Linked DNA regions of Mus musculus. The protein of the gene in region 2 interacts with the protein of the main gene of each other region in a pairwise test. Links are inferred from orthologs where the notes say so. Each region holds a gene or a part of one and is shown on either strand. Other genes may lie near its edges.

Region 1 (6,021 bases), on a different chromosome or scaffold from region 2:
GCAGCCAGGACTACACAGAGAAACTGTCTAGAAAAACAAAACAACAAAAAACTTAAAAAAAAAAAAAAAAAAAGAATATCTCAGCAAGCTGGTGAGCAACACCAAATTCTCAGGTTGCTAAGATGCCATGGCCATCCGTGTGGACTAGAGGTTGTCATGAAAGTTTAAATTCTCAGTATTTAAAGGGTACAAACTTTCACTCTTATCAGGAAGTCTGAGCTCTCTGGACTTTAACGGTGCTTTAAGCAAACAACATATCATCCAGGAATCATAAAAAAAAAAAAAAATCACAATATAAACCCTAACTTCCCACAGTAGGGTTATGACAATCACTTATTTGCTCATTTTAAAATTTAATTTGTAGTTTCAAAAATGAAATACAAATGAAACCATACCTTCACCTTTCAGATACAGGTACATTTTCTCTACCAAGTATTTTTACAAGCGTGGCTAGTACTCTGAGAAAGGCACTGAAGAGCCCAAGAGAACCAATACAGTGCAACTTCACTTCCTCATAAGAATCAACCACATAGAGAAGCCTCAAGATTCAGGTCAGAAGGTTAGCAGATGAATTCTAAAGTAATGGTCCATTTTGACAAATTAAAATCTACTTGCTGGCCAGGCGTGGTGGCACACGCCTTTTATCCCAGCACTTCAGAGGCAGAGGCAGGCAGATTTCTGAGTTCGAGGCCACCCTGGTCTACAAAGTGAGTTCCAGGACAGCCAGGGCTAAACAGAGAAACCCTGTCTCAACAACCCCACCCCCACAAAATCTATTTGCAATCTCAAGATATTTGCTAATAGCTGACATTAAAATATACGCATAGTTGGGTGGGGTGATATTCCCAGCACTTGGTAGGCAGAGACAGGCAGACCTCTGTGAAACTGGGGCCACCTTGGTCGACACAGACAGTTCAAAGCCACATACTGAAATCTTATGTTGAAAACAAACAGAAACAAAGAAAAAGAAAAAGCTGCACTGTCTCCAAGACAATGCCAAGTCTAACAGGTATACAACACAGCAATTCCCACCTATAACTATATATCCTGGGTATGTTCACAAACATCAGAGCCTTTCATAGTGTACACGATTATTAACCCAACCAAATAAAATTTACTTAACATGTATGTATATATGTTTGTATGCATGTTGGGGTGGCTCTGATTATTCTGCAAAGCTCAATTCCAAACTTCTTACAATAAACTAGCTGGGACCCAGCCTAGGCCAGAAGTCCCAGACTATTAGGACTAGGGGTATGAAAACAGCATCTGTAAACAGTTTGCAGTCAGTCTCAGGCATGCTCCAGTCTAAAGCCAGTCTCATGGCTTTTTTTAATTCCCACTCCATGAATGGTCCTGCTGTTTCCAAGAGCCAGGAGAGGCAATCAGCTCTCCACCCCTCGCCCACCCACTCTTTTCTACGTATCCAGCAAGGGGGCAAAGAGCAAGCTTAAAGGAACTCAGCGGACTTGCCCTCTCCTGCCCTGGGCCTGTTCTTACCTTGGCCTGAGTGAGCGCCGCCTTCTTCACCTGGAGCTGGGACTGCAGGAGCTTGAAGTTTTTGGACCAGCCTTCAGTTTTTGAGTCACTGGTCTCCACTCCCAGGTCATCATATAGGGACATCTTTTTGGTTTAATGCTGAAAGACAAGCAGGGACAGAGATTAAAAGATGCAAAGCAGAAGCAAGTTATGAATGTCTCTGTGTTAAAACAGCTGCACCATGGACCCTCCTGTCACAAATGCAGGGTTCTTTCTAATCTGCAAAACTATACTTAGGCACTAGTTTAAAAACAGTCCTCAGCCTGGCGTGGTGGCACGCGCCTTTAAACCCAGCACTTGGGAGGCAGAGGCAGGCGGATTTCTGAGGCCAGCCTGGTCTACAAAGTGAGTTCCAGGACAGTCAGAACTATACAGAGAAACCCTCTCAAAAAACTAAAAAAGAAAAAACAAACAAACAAAAGTCCTCAGGGCTCTCATGTAGCTCAGGCTGGCCTTGAACTTATCACAAAGACGAGGTTGGCTTTGAACTTGTGACTCTTTCCTACACCTCTTGAGTGCTGGGATATGCCACTATGTCCAGCCTAGAATTAATTCTCAATCTAAAAGACTATGGTGAACTGACTTATGAGTCAAATCCTTCAGTTATAGAACTGATAATGGAGTAAGACGGAAGCTCTCTATGTGGGGCATTATTAACTATAAAGTTCCAGGTGCCAAAGAGATGGCTCAGTGGGTAGGAGTACTGGTTGCTCTTCCAGAGGTCCTGAGTTCAGTTTCCAACAACCACCTGTAATGGTGGCTCAGAACCATCGATGAGTCCCAGGAGGGCCAGGGCTGTTACAAAAAGAAACCCTGTCCATAAATAAATAAAATCCCTCACAGGTGAAACCCTGTCCATAAATAAATAAAAATCCCTCACAGGTGTGGCCAGCCATTGGGTTTTAGTAGATTCCAGATGTAGCTAACCAAGAGTAACCATCACAAGTCTAAAAGTCTACCTCTGTTAGCTTGATCCACACCACAATCATATCTTATACTCAGGACTTAATGATGTTTTACCGAATCATTTATACCCTTCCGTGTGTAGCTATGCCATCTCTGATAGTTCACATTTCCCATCCGTATTACCAAGATACCATTGGCCAGGGACTGTTAAAAACAAACTAACCAGAGTAACTAAAGCAAACAGCGCAGCAGATTTCTCTACTGTTCTGAAAGACTTGTAGAATGACCTACTAGAGGGAACTCTTCCCTGTTGGAAAGATGTGTGAAAAATTTATGCGGGGGACAGGTGGTGGGGGGGAGGAGGTACATAATAACAAATCAGGGGGTCAACAAGAACCCATATGGTAGGAGAAAAATGACGCCTGTAGGAAATCACACATGTGATTTCCACGTGTGGCTTGTCCTCGGAACTCTTAATCTCCTGCCTGCACCTTCCAAGCACTGGAATTCCAGACATATTGCCACCCTGGGCTCCATTACTCATATTTACTAAAATTTGTTATCTCGAAATGTTTACAGCTCAGCCCAGTATAAATGTGTCCCCATGATTTAAAAGAGCCACCTGTTGCAGAGAGACAGGCCTCACCTATTCCCAGAACAAGCAGAATTATAACAAGAACTTATGTCAATGGTCCCCCCTTCCTGACTTCTCAAAGGAAGGTCTGACTGATCACCCTTCTAAGTCCCTCTTCATCCTCTGTCACAGCCTTAAACTGCAGAATACTCTACAGCGCTTCTCTGCTCTTGCTTTCCCTCTTCCTCATAGGTGCAGCCTTTCCACTTGTAATAAAACTCCTCTTCCAGGTCTTTCCAGCTTGTAATCTGGTTCTTCGGATCAATCCAGGCCTGGGTTTTCCAACGAGCTTCTTAGAGATCTAACCCCTGGAGAAGCACCTTACTGAGCTTGCAGCACTCATTCAGAGCACAACTGGTCCAAGCAGAAGAAGCTCGAAAGCTAGCGGAGGGACATGAACGCTAAAACTCCCCTTAGCGCAGGCCTGAGCATGCCGGGGGTTACAACAGACACTCTCTGTCCCGGTGAGACAACGGCCTCAACCTTCACTTCAGGTGCTCTGGAAGGAAACAAGTTTTGGGGTTTGTGTTTTGGCTTCTCCATTCCTGAGGCCCGACGCAGTCTGGGTTACTGCGGTCTTGCGACCCAACAACTTGGTCTGGGCATGGGCCATGAAGAGGAGAAAGGTACTTTCTTCACTGTCAAGAGGATCGGGACTGGTGAAGGGGGGATCTAGGTGGCCCGGTGGAACGTGGCAGGCTGAAGGAGCCCAACGTGGAGGGCTGGGAACCCCCCGGGCAGCTCGGGGTGCCCCGCCCGCATCCCCGCGCCCCTCACGGCGCGGCCTAGAGCCGCGGCCTCGCGTCCAGCGCATCCGTGAAGGCGCGCACACCCGAGTCTACGTTCCGGATCAGACCGCCTGCCAGGGCCGCCGCGGCGCCACTCACCCGGCCTTCCGAGACGATTGTGCCCATGGGCCACGGCGGCGGCAGCGCGGAGCCCGGCCGCCCTGCGCGGAAGCCCGCCCACCGCCGGAGTCCGCCGCAGCGCCGAGCCTCCACGGAGTCCGCAAAGGGATGCACCGCGCGGGGTAAGAGAGCGGAGGCTGCCGGGAGTCCACGTCTGCGCCTGCGTGTGACTCGCGGAAGCAAAGCTGCACTCTCCGGCTCGCACTGCACCCTGCTGACGGGAGGACTACATTGCATCTCCTCTCTGCCGGCCAAGAGATGGCGCCATTGGCACAAGGTTTCGAGATTCATGTGCCTTCTGACCTTGGAGTAGGAGCCGAATCCCCTACTAGGCTCCAGGTATTCACTCCCAACTATTCCCTTATATACTAAATGGTGGAAATAAATTTGCAGGCGAGATGTTGCAGAATCTAATAGCATTAAAAACACACACTGAGCTAGGTCTTCAGAGAAAGAATGTAAACACTATAAACCTTGCTCGCTTGGAATAAAAATGCAGCAAATGGCAAAAGAAAGGTCAGAGAAACCAGGGCTTTGTGTAAATATGTTTTCCCCATATTTTTGGTTGCATGTAAAAATTATTTCAAGCTATAGCTGGACAGTTGTGACCCATGCCTTTAATCTCAGCCCTTGAGAGGCAGAGACAGAGATTTCTGAGTTCAAAGCCTGCCTGGTCTATATAGTGAGTTCCAGGACAGCCAGGACTACACAGAAACCCTATTTTGAAAAACAGCAACAATAACAACAACCCCCCCCCCCCCCCGCAAAGGGTGGTGGTGGTGGTGAATTCAAGCTGAAAAATGTATCAGTCAGGGTTCTCTATAGTCAGAGGACCTATAGACTGTCTATATATATTAAATGAATTTATTGCAATGATTTACACTCTGCAGTCCAACTAACCTGACAATGGGCAGCTGTGAATGGGAAACCCAAGAATCTAGTAGTTGCTCTGTCCCACGAAGTAGGTTGTTTCATCTGGTCTTCTGTCTAAGCTACAATCTGAAGAAATCGGTTCCAACAGAGATGCTGTCAAGTAAGTGCAAGAAGGTGACGAGGAGTGAGTCAATCTTCTTTCTCCCAATGTCTTTATGTCCTCAAGTTCCACACCTGGATCCGGAACTTGCTTTGTCCCAGGCTGGCCTTGAACTCAGAGAACTGCTTGCCTCAGTGTCCTGGGATTAAAGTTGTGCACTACCTTGCCTGGGCTGTCTCATGATCTCCATGTCAAGATCTGGGTCAGCAGCCTGTGTCTTCCAGCCTCAAGATCCTGTGTGCCCTCCATTTCTGGATTGTAGTTCATTCCAGATGTAGTCGAGTTGAAAACCAGGAATAGCCATCATAAAACTGTGGAGGTGGACCTTACACAAGTGAACACACCAACATTATAATCTGATTTACAAGAAAGTGTTCAAATAATTCTGAAAGTGCCAGGCGTGGTGGCACACGCCTTTAATCCCAGCACTCGGGAGGCAGAGGCAGGGGGATTTCTGAGTTCGAGGCCAGCCTGGTCTACAGAGTGAGTTCCAGGACAGCCAGAGCTATACAGAGAAACCCTGTCTCGAAAAGCCAAATAAATAAATAAATAATAAAAATTTAAAAAATTTTAAAAATTCTGAAAGCTTGAAAATGCAAGCCTGGAATAAAGTACCAGCTTGTGGCAGATAAACATAAAGAAATCAGATAGCAACACCATGTGTGGGTTGATTAAAAGTTTGACATGACATTTTATAATACAATTCCTGTTGAAAAAAAAATAAAATCTGTACATCAAAAAAATACAATCTTGTTATTCATAGTAAACACTATAGGAAATAATAAATAGGGAAAAGGAATTAACACACACACACACACACACACACACACACACACACACATGTAATAGTTGAGATTTTGTTTTTGTGGGGCAGAAGAGAACAGTTAAGAGCACCAGCTGCTCTTCCAAAGGACCTGGGGCTCTTTATAACCTACTTAGCACCCACATGACAGCTCACAAACATCTGTAACTATAGTCCCAGGGGATCTCATGGCCTCTGT
Region 2 (5,265 bases):
CCATCTCCAATACCTACAATCTGTTAATTGTAAATAGTGAGTCTACAACAATTTAATGAAGAAAAACCCCCAACACATAGTAATTTAAAAATAAAGTATAGGACACTTGCCAAACACTCAGATTTAAGTTCATCTTATCTATGTAACAATGAGAAGACTACCAAGGAACACTTTTGCTATTCTGAGTTCAAATGGCCTGAGACAATTCAAAGTAAAAGTCAAGTTTCCATAGCCTGGGATGATGCTTGTCTTACTGGTGGCAATACCCTTGTGTAATGGCTGCTTATGAAGCATTGTATTCACAAGTCTTAAAATGCACGTTTTTGTGATGGAACCAGTAAAAAAATTCTGAAGTGAGGCTCCCTCTCCAAGTCCTCTAATATGTATTATATACAAACCATAATCAGTGTATAAATAAGTATCTACCAAGCCAGTCAATTTTACATCTCATATGGATTAAATCTGATTTTATACTAGTAAAATGCACCATCAGGTAGACACGTCCCAACAAACTCAACAATCTGAGATCAATCCCCAAGACCCAACGGTAGGATAACAATGATAGGAGTAACAGAAATTAATGAGCAATGAGCCGATAAGCCAGAACAAAGAAGGACTTCTAATCAGCTTCTCTATGAAGTGTATGAGTCAGCCCTAGAAGTCTAGGTTGTTAGGTACACCTGAGTACTTTTCATAGCCTCCAGGTAGGTTCTGCTAGAAAGTCTCTAATAATACAGTTCTAATCTTCTCTTAAAATAGAGTTAAACAAGACAGAAACAATTTAACTTTCTTTCTCTTACTGTCGGGGTCAATGAGTCAGTACCGTTCTCCCCTCATCTCTCTGATGTGGTTTCTAGATATCCTGAACCACTAGGCACCATATAAGAGGTGCACTAAAAGTATTCAAATCACCTGAAACTGACACGTCATCAGATCACAACTATACATTTTCCTTTCATATTATAAAAAATGAGGCAGAGATAGGAGAATCAGTGATTTCTGAGGCCAATCTAGTCTACAGTGAATGGCAGGTCACCAAGACTTTAAAACAAAGCAAAGCAAAGCAAATTAACAAGAGAAAGGCACATCCAAATTTAGTAACTATTTAGCCTGTAAGTGAAAGACAAATTATTGCAGTACTTTTGACTGGCCACATCAACAGCTCCTTTTGGTTCCGGAAGGATTTTAGTTTGTCTCCTGCCTGTTGATAGGAAGCTCAACTTCTCATTTTAACACACTATACAAATTACATTATAAAAGCTGCCAACAGTCAATACTTAGTAAAAACTGACGGTGATCCAGAACACTGTTCCCTCCTATCCAATACAAACACATGCTAGGGGCTAGAGTGATTAAACTGTTCGCCTCAGTACAGTAAGACCTGACACAACGCATTTAATAAGGTAATAAACTATCAGCCTTATGAAATGAGCTTTAAGAATGAGGACAAAGCCATTCTTCCATTATTCTGTCTCTGGGGATCCAATTTCAAAAAAAAATATTACACACGTTATCCCATTAGATTACATACTGATTAACCTAAGAAAGTGCTACATTTATGCTCTTTAAAACCCAGGTTTAATGGCTACTGTACCTAAGGAGTACTCCTTTTAAAAAACGCTAAATACGTAGTAACAGTATAATTACAATGAAAAAAGAAAAGCAGCCACTCACTATAGAGACTCTTAGAATAAAAGATACAGAAGGACTTGGGCCAAGATTAGTATAAATAGACTTTATTGAAGTCAGTGCCTCTGTATGGAGACAGAAGATTGTGTCTACAGAAGCACAAGTTGTAACATTTCACAACTTCTAAAAGGAATGTCAACAATTACAACGATCATGCATACCATGGTCGATAATCACATTTTAGAAGCATTTTCAACCATTTCTAAAGAAATGCTTATAACATTGTTATATATAGAACTACTTTCAATAAACTGCAAAACATTGATCGACTTTTCCAGTATGAGCTACAGTGTCAACACAAAAGGGAGGCATAAATGTTTAATTTATGAAATCAGAATGGAATATTTACTGTAAAGAAAAATTAAAAAGCTTTCAAATAAAGGCCATTATTGAACCAACATGAAGAGCACAACTTGAACTTGACTTCATTCATCTTTTAAAGCTGTCCTCTGAATAACTTCAGTTCTAAGCATTGAATTCAGTACTGTGAATATTCCTTGGATTGAAGTTTGGCAATAATGCGGTCCAACTGTCTCTTTGCTTCACACTGTGGGAAATTGCTCATGTCATAATATTGAGGGGCAATTTTCACCAACCTGTCCAGAATGGGGGAGGGGGAAAGTTATGAAATCAAGATTTAAGTACTAGAGTTGCTAATAATTATACTGCTGCTGAATGACGACAAATGTTCAAATACAAATCAATGATAAAAGATTTAAAATCATATCTTTATTAACACAGTTTAAGAAATATCAGCTTAGCAAAAGTATAAACCTTCTGTAAACTTACCACCTTGGAAACAGGATCGGGATTAATTTTTCTAATACTTTATTTACATTAATATGAAAAGACAAAAGCTATTTAGTGTTTCATTTGCCTACACTTAAACCTGTATTTTAAAGGTTATGGTTTTGATAGTCAAATAACTCCATCTCATTATCAGTATTAAGAACTACAAATATAAAACTGTATATCTTATAAACTATACTGTTTTCCCTTGGCAAAACATAATAAAAGGGTAATGTTCTAAACAATTGAAGTGTCAAAAGCCATAAATCAGTAATGGATGGAAGCCGCAAAATAGTAAGTGAGACAAACCAACATAAATGGTTTCCTGTCCACTCTTGGCTGACATTCCCATAACTTATAAAAATGGTGGTGGTAGGGAAATCACAAGGGTACCATTTTGCTAAAAATTGAACAACCTGTCTTAATTACAATTTTTAGAAGCTAATATGCTAGGGAATAATTTGATATAATTTTTATCTTTACATAGGTCAAAAAACCCCTCAACATTTAATAAATAAAGACAAAATACTTAAACCAAGTAAAATATTAAAAAGACAAACATCTGCCAACAGAGACCACAAAATGGCACCAAGAAATTCCTGATGGTACTCAACTCCCTGCCCACACTAATATTCCCACTGTCCTCTCACCAGAACACTGACTTAAGAAACAAAAGAAAAAAACAAATCATACCATGTTAATCCTAGGTCCACGTACAAGAATATACACACCTAGCTGAGAAGTTCAAGCTATACAATGAGCAAGGATATGTCTACTAAGCATATTCTACCCACAACAAAATACTAAAATCAAAATTGAAGACAGTGTGCTTCCTTACCATTCTGGCTTGATATCTGTACATGTCCGGATATAATTCTTTGTCGTCAGCACAAACTCATTATAAAGCACCCATTCAGGCTTGTGATCAAGCACAGTAGAGGGATGCAACTGGACCACCTGGTTATCTTTCACAGTTAAATAATGCCCCGTTCGTTCTAAATGTGCCACCTGAAACAAAATAATTAGTGTTTACAGTGAAATACTAGGCAAACAGTATGTGGATATTTACATGAAAACTTAAAAATATTGAGTTTGTTTTACTGTGTGTGTGCATACATGCTCACATGCCAATTTGTGTACCACATATGTGGCTGCCTGAGAAGGTCAGAGAAAATGTTGGCTCCCTTAGAACTGGAATTACAGTTGGTTCTTAGAAGTTATGTGGGTGCTAAGAACTGAACCCAGGTCCTCCGGATGAGTAGTCAGTGCTCTCAACCACTCATTTCTATCTCAGGCATGTCTCGCACCACACACTAGCTACAAAGTAGACAAATATTACCACACTCATAACTAAGGTGAAGAAAAGAAATCTAAGCAAAAAGAAAGCAACAACCTATAAAGAAAAGAAAGGGGTAAGGAAAAAGCAGGGAAAGAAAGATCACATAATTCTTTCATATTTTCTTTTCCTAATTATACACTTATATTCATGATACCTAACAACTAATAATGCAGGACAAGAGTCTTTGCCATTCCCAACTCTACAACTCTGCATAGCACATGACTTAATGACAACTAGTAAATATATATAACGAATATATACTAGGTGTCAAGTACCACTTCAATTGTTGCTGCTTCTTAGAATAGGAGCTAACTAGGATACTACAGTTCTTAAATTTATCAGTCAAGTGTGCGTGCGTGCGTGCGTGCGTGCGTGCGTGTGCGTGTCAGAGAAAAAAACTAAGAAATACCAAGAAAAAGCTAGTCCATACTAGTATATAAATGTATGTATTAGAGGTCACCTGCCACCCCAGCATTTCAGAAGGCAAAGAACCATTGGAGTTTAAAGTCACCCTTTTGTGAGACATTCTCACAAAACCACCAATCCACTTTTTTTCTGATACTTTAATTCAAAGACAGATACTTTACAGGCATAATATGGAACCAAATGCATCCAGATTCCTTCTAGCTATTGAACACAAATGGCTTTAAGGCTAATGTAACTGGTTTAAGAAACATCCAAGGACAGAATAAAGAAGCATGAGAGATAAGTTTAAAGAGCAATTTCAACTCACGTAATGTATTTTGAATTTAACTAGCAGAATAGTTTCAAGCATCATTTTGATTTACCTGACCCTTCGATTTTTCAGGACCTACAGAAGTGGCTGAGCAGTGAATACTTGTTCCTCTTTCAAGAGACTCAGATTTAATTCCCAGCACCCACATGGTGATTCACAACCCACTCTAACTCCAATTTCAGAGTACCTGAAAACCTCTACCTGTACCAGGCATGCAAGTTATCCAGATATACAGGCAAAATACCCATACATAATAAAAATTTTAAAAACCTACTAAGGGTATTTATTTGCTTTTTTATTCGAATTCCAATGACCTCTAATACATACATTTAAATTAAATAACTTATAAAGAAAAATTCAGAATAGCTAAAGGACACTTGGATTTTACAGTGCTCCAAGTTAGTCATAAATACCAATAAGTACTGTGTACAAACACAAAGGCAATGTAGTTAGTTAAATGTGGAAACAGAGAATGGAGAGATGGCTCAATAGTTTAAGAGAGCTAGCTGTTCTTCCAGTGGACACGCACACACACACACTTAGGCAATACAGTCAATATATAAAATAATAATAATGTGGAGAAGTTTAAAGAGGAAAATAAACTGTAGACTTTTGGATTCATGCATTTAACAACTTCACTGGTGGTCTTTTAATACATAATACACTTTAAACTAAGACCAAGATTTTGAGAAACTTTAATAGATTTGTCAAA
Region 3 (6,021 bases), on a different chromosome or scaffold from region 2:
CCCCACCACCTCATCTCTAAGATGTGAGCACATCACAGGAAAGAGTGCCCACATCTTTAATCCAGAACTTGGGAGGCAGAGACAGGAGTATCTGTGAGTTTCAAGTCAGCCCAGCTCTATACAGTAAGTTCCAGGACAGCAGAGGTAACATAGGAGATCCTGGCAGAGTTGACGGTCCTCCTTGCAGCCTATCTTCTATAAGGGTGCATTGGTATGCAGAGAAGCTCATGAAGTTCAAGTACTCAAAGGAGTCCATGTCACAGGACCCTTACAAAGACTTTAGCTATTGGTTGTATTAAAGGCCCACTTCGTCTCTCGAAGTTACATTCAACTTAAGTATGCTTCTGAGTGATCAGTGTAATTTTCTAGTCACCACACTTCTTTATATAATTTTTATTGACAATAGCTATTACTCACCTCTGGACTATCATAGTCCCGATAGTCATCATATCTATCACCTCTCCGATCATCGCTTGATCTTTTGTAATCTGAGTCCCGCCGCCTGCTTCTAGATTCACGCTCATCACGGTCATCCCTATCTATGATGGAACCATATCTTCCACTACGTTCTGTTCTACTCACTCTGCGAGAAAAATAATGTTCATTTAAGTACATCATGTAAGTATATAGTTTCATACAGTCAGAAAAAAAAAATCGCCTCACATATCAGTTTATAAGATACATCCAAATAGTTTAATGTATCCCTTAAAACATACCACCCATGTTTAGTTTACAAAGATATCTACTGAAAGAACATTCTTAGGCAAGTTGTGGTGATGCATGCCTGTAATCCGAGGAGGCAAAGGCAGGAGGGTGATCTCTAGAGCTTTAGACCACCCAGGTCTCAAGAAAAGGAGAGAGAAAACATACACACACACAATTTTAAGGAATTGACAGAAAGTCAGAAAATATAACTATTAGTTATTTGGATTAAAGTTTTTGAGAAGGGAACATATTCTCAAAGTTTATTCTTAGTGTTTTCTTAAGCCTATGGTTGATATATTATTCCTTTATTTCCATTTCAGATAATACTGACCAAAGACAGCAAGAAAGTAGTTACTTAAATCTCATCCAATTTCAGAGTAAATGTTTTTTTTTTCCTTTTCCTTTTTGGTTTTTCAAACAGGGTTTCTCTGTGTAGCCCTAGCTGTCCTGGAACTCACTTTGTAGACCATGTTGGTCTTGAACTCAAGAGATCTGCCTGCCTCTGCCTCATGAGTGCAGGGACCAAAGTTGAGAGCAACCACTGCCAGCATGGAAGAGTTAATCTTAACAACTTAGACTCTCAAGGGCGCCACACAAACCAGAAATGGACCAATGCTCTAGACGACCTATGTCTTCCCTCCAACCACTGCCAGTCAACCTGTTAACCAAGTGGTTCATCTGTACACAGAAGTGGATGATTACTTCAAACTGACAGGCTCAGAAAACATTTATTCCATATAACATTTTTTTTTAGCCATGGGCAAAAAGGTACATTTGCAAAAGGGTACATTTTAATTACGTACGTTATTTGGAGCAATAGTCTGTCACAGGACTACATGATATCCTATGACATAAATAAGTCTTTCTTGGATGTCAATTTTATCTATCACAAGAACTGGCCTGTCAATAATAAGATCATGTGAAGGCTATGTTAAGTCAAATGATTTGAGGTCTCCATATCCACAGTTGCTGAAACAGCCAACAGTTTTCACCTTTGTTTGTTTAATGTATCTGGACCTACTGGGGATTGATACTCATGCCTCATAAACCACTGACAGGCGAGCTGTATCCCAGTCCTAATCTGTTCTATGTTAACTAGCTTTTCCCTTTCTCGATCGTCTTGATGTAAGCCACGCTCCTAGGCTGCTCAGCTTTGAGCCTCCCAGGCCACTGTATCTATCACTAGGGAATAACAAGGATTGGCACTCACTCACTGCTTCTCAAGCAGGCTTTGAATAGCTCCTGCCCACAGCTGGAACTTTCCATGGCCTACTCCACACTGCTTTCCTTAACCTAGTTCTTAGCCTTTGGACTGCACCTCCGACAATACTTTCCCCAAGACACTTCCCTTTCTCCTCATGTGTCCAGACAGTACTTTACATTTTTTATCCTAACTGTTAACTCTCACTAGACTGAAGCTTGTGAGAACAGAATCATGAAAGTAGTCATTTGGAACACTTGAAACACAATAGACATTTAAATATTCATTTGCAAAATAAATAATTTATTACTGTTGTTGCTTTGTTTTGTTTTTGTTTTTCCTTTTTTGAGACAGGCCTTCTCTATGTAGCCCTGGCTGGCCTTGAACTCAGTGAGATTTGCCTGTCTCTGCGGGGATTAAAACCTGTAAGCTGCCATCACCACACAGGGCTGAATAAACAATTTTAAACAAATATTTCAGTCCCAACTAAGCTGTTGAGATCAAAGGCATGTCATGTATTGAAACTCACCTTTTGTCTGAACCCATCGTCTCACGGAAGAGCTAGCACACTGCTTCAAAAGGCTTAAATTTTCCCCTAGGGGTGGGAAAGAGAAAAATTGCAAATTTCAGAGATCACTTAATTCAAGAACCCTACAAACTGGGATAGAAACTGTGGCTAATACTTAACAATGACTAAAAAGAGGAAGGAAAAGGAGGCTGTCAACACTAAGTCATAATTGTGTTAAGAAGCAGGAAGATGAAGGTCACTTTAACATATTAAGATCATATATTCAATAAGAAACTCAAGAAGGGTGAAGGCTTTAGACACCTTGGACACTCCCACTACAATTACAAAGCAAAAAGCTCCTGATTTTCATAACCAAAGCAACGCTATTTATTGAGATGGACAATGATTAAAGCATTCATCCAACTGTCTTCGTTAATATAAAATTCAACACTAAAATTGTAACACGATCTCAAATTTTTCTGACAAAAACTTAGAAGCTGGAATGCTGATCTGATTGAAATTTACATATATAACACATCGCCTGATCTCAATTTATTTCAGTAAGACAAGACCAAACCTTGACTCGGCTTAATATCTGTGTATCAATAACACCTATGTCTTGGACCAGCCCTGATCGACAACAGGCCACCGAGTGACCCACAGCCTTTCCCCGGCCGATTGGCCGTAATAAAACATCACACAGCTATGATGCCTGTGATGTCCCAGAAACTATAGTTACTGCCATTTCTAGAATCTGGTCTTTTAAAGCAAGCACTTAACAAACATTCGTTGACTTAAAAAATAAGAGACATCTAGTGGGTCAAGTTCCGGGGTCGAACGGCTACGGCTGTCCCTTGTTTTCGCCCGAGATGCCCGCACCCACCTCCCAGGGAGGTTGCCCATGCCCACCTCCGCGGGGTATCGCAGCCGAGATGGCGGCGCAACTGAATCCGGCATTCAGTCCATCTTTCTTATCTTCCATCCATCCCTCCCCACACCCATTCCCAACCACCTTTCGCACAGCGAGATTCAGTTGGAGACTCAGGGCGATGATGGCTTAAGAGACTGCCAGGCGCTCCACAGCTCCGCACGACAGGGGATTCGGGACAACGTCCCAGCAAGAGACAAACAACTCCAAAGAGGCGGGTCGAGGACCGGGCTAGGGGGCAACCTATGAAAGCCAGCAGAGCCAGAGGCGAGGAGGGGCGCGGCCCTCAAGCGCTTGCTTAGTTTAGTCTCTTCAAAGACTCGGCTGAGCGGTCACCTCTGGCGGCTGACAGGCAGACTTAAGGGACAGCACCAATTGCAAAATCACTGGGGTGTAATGGACGGCAGCCGCACTCACCCCCACAGAGGGAACAAAGCAGGAGCAGTAGCGGCTCTGCGCCCCAGAACCTCCTACAAGGTTCGGCCGCTCCACAAAATGGCGTCTCCACCGACCGTCTTCTCCTACCCACAGTCCCTCGCGCGTCGACCTTCCCCCACCTCCCATCCTACCCGCCTCTCCAGAGGCGTCCAATCAGCGAGGGTGCCGGTCTGCGCGAGGGCTGCCGGGAAGTGTGGTCGCCCAGGCAGCCTGTCACTATACCCTGCGTTAATTTTTTTGCGTATTTCATCTGCTCCATGACAAAGCTGCCATTCAGCTTCTGAGAACCCGGATGTGAACTTTACCAGCGCTTGACACACTGTAAAACGTATAATCCAGTTCGTAGAGAAGGCATACTACGGATTACTTCCCTAGTCGTTTTACAAACATACAGAGCTAATAATTCGGTAAACTGGAAACTGAACTAGCTTGTTTTCAGAAGCCATGCCAGCACTAGAATATGAACTCCAGAACAATAGGGATATTTTGTTGTAAGACCCTGCCACAAGCAAACAAAACAACAATAAAACCAAGCCTGTGAGATAGCCTCATCAGGTAAGGCTTACTGCCAAGCCTAAAACCCTGAGTTCCATCCCTGCAATTCACAGGATGGAAAGAGAACCACGCATGAGAGTAGTCTTCTGATGTGGCAAACATGGATGTGTGTTCAAATACACCAACAATAAGTAAATGCAAAGCAGCCCAAATTCAAACCAAATCATCACCCAACTACACATTAAAAAAAAAAATCCAACAAAACAGACAAAACCCTAGAGGTTCCCCCCCCCCCTCTCTCTGCTTTTTGTGGAGATATTGTCATCCAGTTGCCATAACTTGTCCTCTGCATATGTAGTTATTAGGGAGCAGATTTCCCTCATTTTTTTTTTTAATTTTTCTTCCCTTCCCTCCCTTTTGTTTTCTTTAGAAAGGGTCTCTATAGTTCTGGTTAGCCTGGAATTCACAATGTAGACTGACCAAGATCCATCTCCTTAGTGTGGGACTGTTTCTGACCCTCCAGTTTTCACCTCCTTCTGGGATTACAAGTCTGATAAGAATAACGGTGTGCAGGAATTAGGGTGACTGAAACTGGCTAGAAATGCCTGATAACACAGCTGAAGGAACACATACTCAACATCTTTCTTTTGTATCTATGTATTCTCAGTATACAATTATGTAAATGTTAAGATATGCCCAATTATGGTTGAGTATATATAACACACTTAACCGCAGAAAATATACATTTGTCTGCAGATCATAGAAACCACTTATAGCAGGGTGTGGTGATCCATGCCTATAATCCCAGAGGTAATTGGATCTCTGAGTTCAAGGCCAGCCTGGTCTAAAAAGGTGAGTTCCAGGAAAGCCAGGGTGATATAAAGAACTCACTCACTGGTTGCTGGGATTAAAGGTGAGCCACCATGCTGCCAATTCAATTTTAAACTCAAAAGCTACTCCCCTATCCCTAGACAGATTCCATCCAGGGATGAATGGCATCCTCTCAATTGTGTCTGTCTGTTGAGTAGAATTGTTTTTGTGAGTAGATGGACTATATATCCTAGGCTATCTGGTAGTCGATGTACCAAAGACAATGGAAATTGTTCTAATTTAAGCAACACAAAAAAGCAAATATATTATTGAACAAAGTTTTAATAAAATAATCTTAAGTCTTTCATTTTAAAAACTTAAAAGCTGGAGATGGAGTGCTTGCTGCTCTATCAGGGAATCCAAATTTGGTTCCCAGCACTCGTATCAGGTAGCACACAAGCCTATATAATACCACCTCCAGGGATCCCATGCCGTCTTCTGGCCCTAAATGCACCTAAACTACACGCAGAGACAAATAAAAATAGTAAGCCGGGCGCAGTGGCGCACGCCTTTAATCCCAGCACTTGGGAGGCAGAGGCAGGCGGATTTCTGAGTTTGAGGCCAGCCTGGTCTACAAAGTGAGTTCCAGGACAGCCAGGGCTACACAGAGAAACCCTGTCTCGAAAAAACCAACCTAACCCAGTGACATAATCACTTTCATGAGTCTTTTAAAACCAACCCAACCAATCACCTCTCTGATTATGTGGCAAAAAAATAAACGATTAAATGTTTTGTCCCAGTATTGGAACTACTGCTATAGAAAAAAAGTGAAAGACATCTTTGCTTTGAGGCAATTGTAGGACTTTGTTTTCCCTATAGCCTTGAGGTGGTCAAAGAGCTTCTGAGTCTTTAATTAGTGAACCTACAATGGAGGTG

What was found. The genes of interacting proteins can lie anywhere in the genome.
Region 1: the proteins of Dhx15 (region 2) and Rbm17 interact in binary tests that used the Homo sapiens proteins (3 or more experiments, as listed by UniProt). The link is inferred for Mus musculus from reciprocal best matches to the Homo sapiens genes DHX15 and RBM17.
Region 3: the proteins of Dhx15 (region 2) and Rbm5 interact in binary tests that used the Homo sapiens proteins (3 or more experiments, as listed by UniProt). The link is inferred for Mus musculus from reciprocal best matches to the Homo sapiens genes DHX15 and RBM5.

What each region holds. Positions count from the first base shown.
Region 1 is NC_000068.7:11,599,119-11,605,139, forward strand, and holds the start of Rbm17 (splicing factor 45), read right to left. Parts: upstream 4,082-6,021; 5' UTR 3,967-4,081; intron 1,639-3,966; 5' UTR 1,624-1,638; coding exon 1,501-1,623; intron 1-1,500. UniProt on the Homo sapiens protein: Splice factor that binds to the single-stranded 3'AG at the exon/intron border and promotes its utilization in the second catalytic step. Involved in the regulation of alternative splicing and the utilization of cryptic splice sites.
Region 2 is NC_000071.6:52,148,494-52,153,758, forward strand, and holds the end of Dhx15 (pre-mRNA-splicing factor ATP-dependent RNA helicase DHX15), read right to left. Parts: exon of another isoform or gene 4,831-5,265; intron 3,487-4,830; coding exon 3,317-3,486; intron 2,286-3,316; coding exon 2,168-2,285; 3' UTR 1,710-2,167; downstream 1-1,709.
Region 3 is NC_000075.6:107,767,126-107,773,146, forward strand, and holds the start of Rbm5 (RNA-binding protein 5), read right to left. Parts: upstream 3,878-6,021; 5' UTR 3,760-3,877; exon of another isoform or gene 3,324-3,759; intron 2,502-3,323; 5' UTR 2,453-2,501; coding exon 2,436-2,452; intron 584-2,435; coding exon 418-583; intron 1-417. UniProt on the Homo sapiens protein: Component of the spliceosome A complex. Binds to ssRNA containing the consensus sequence 5'-AGGUAA-3'. Regulates alternative splicing of a number of mRNAs.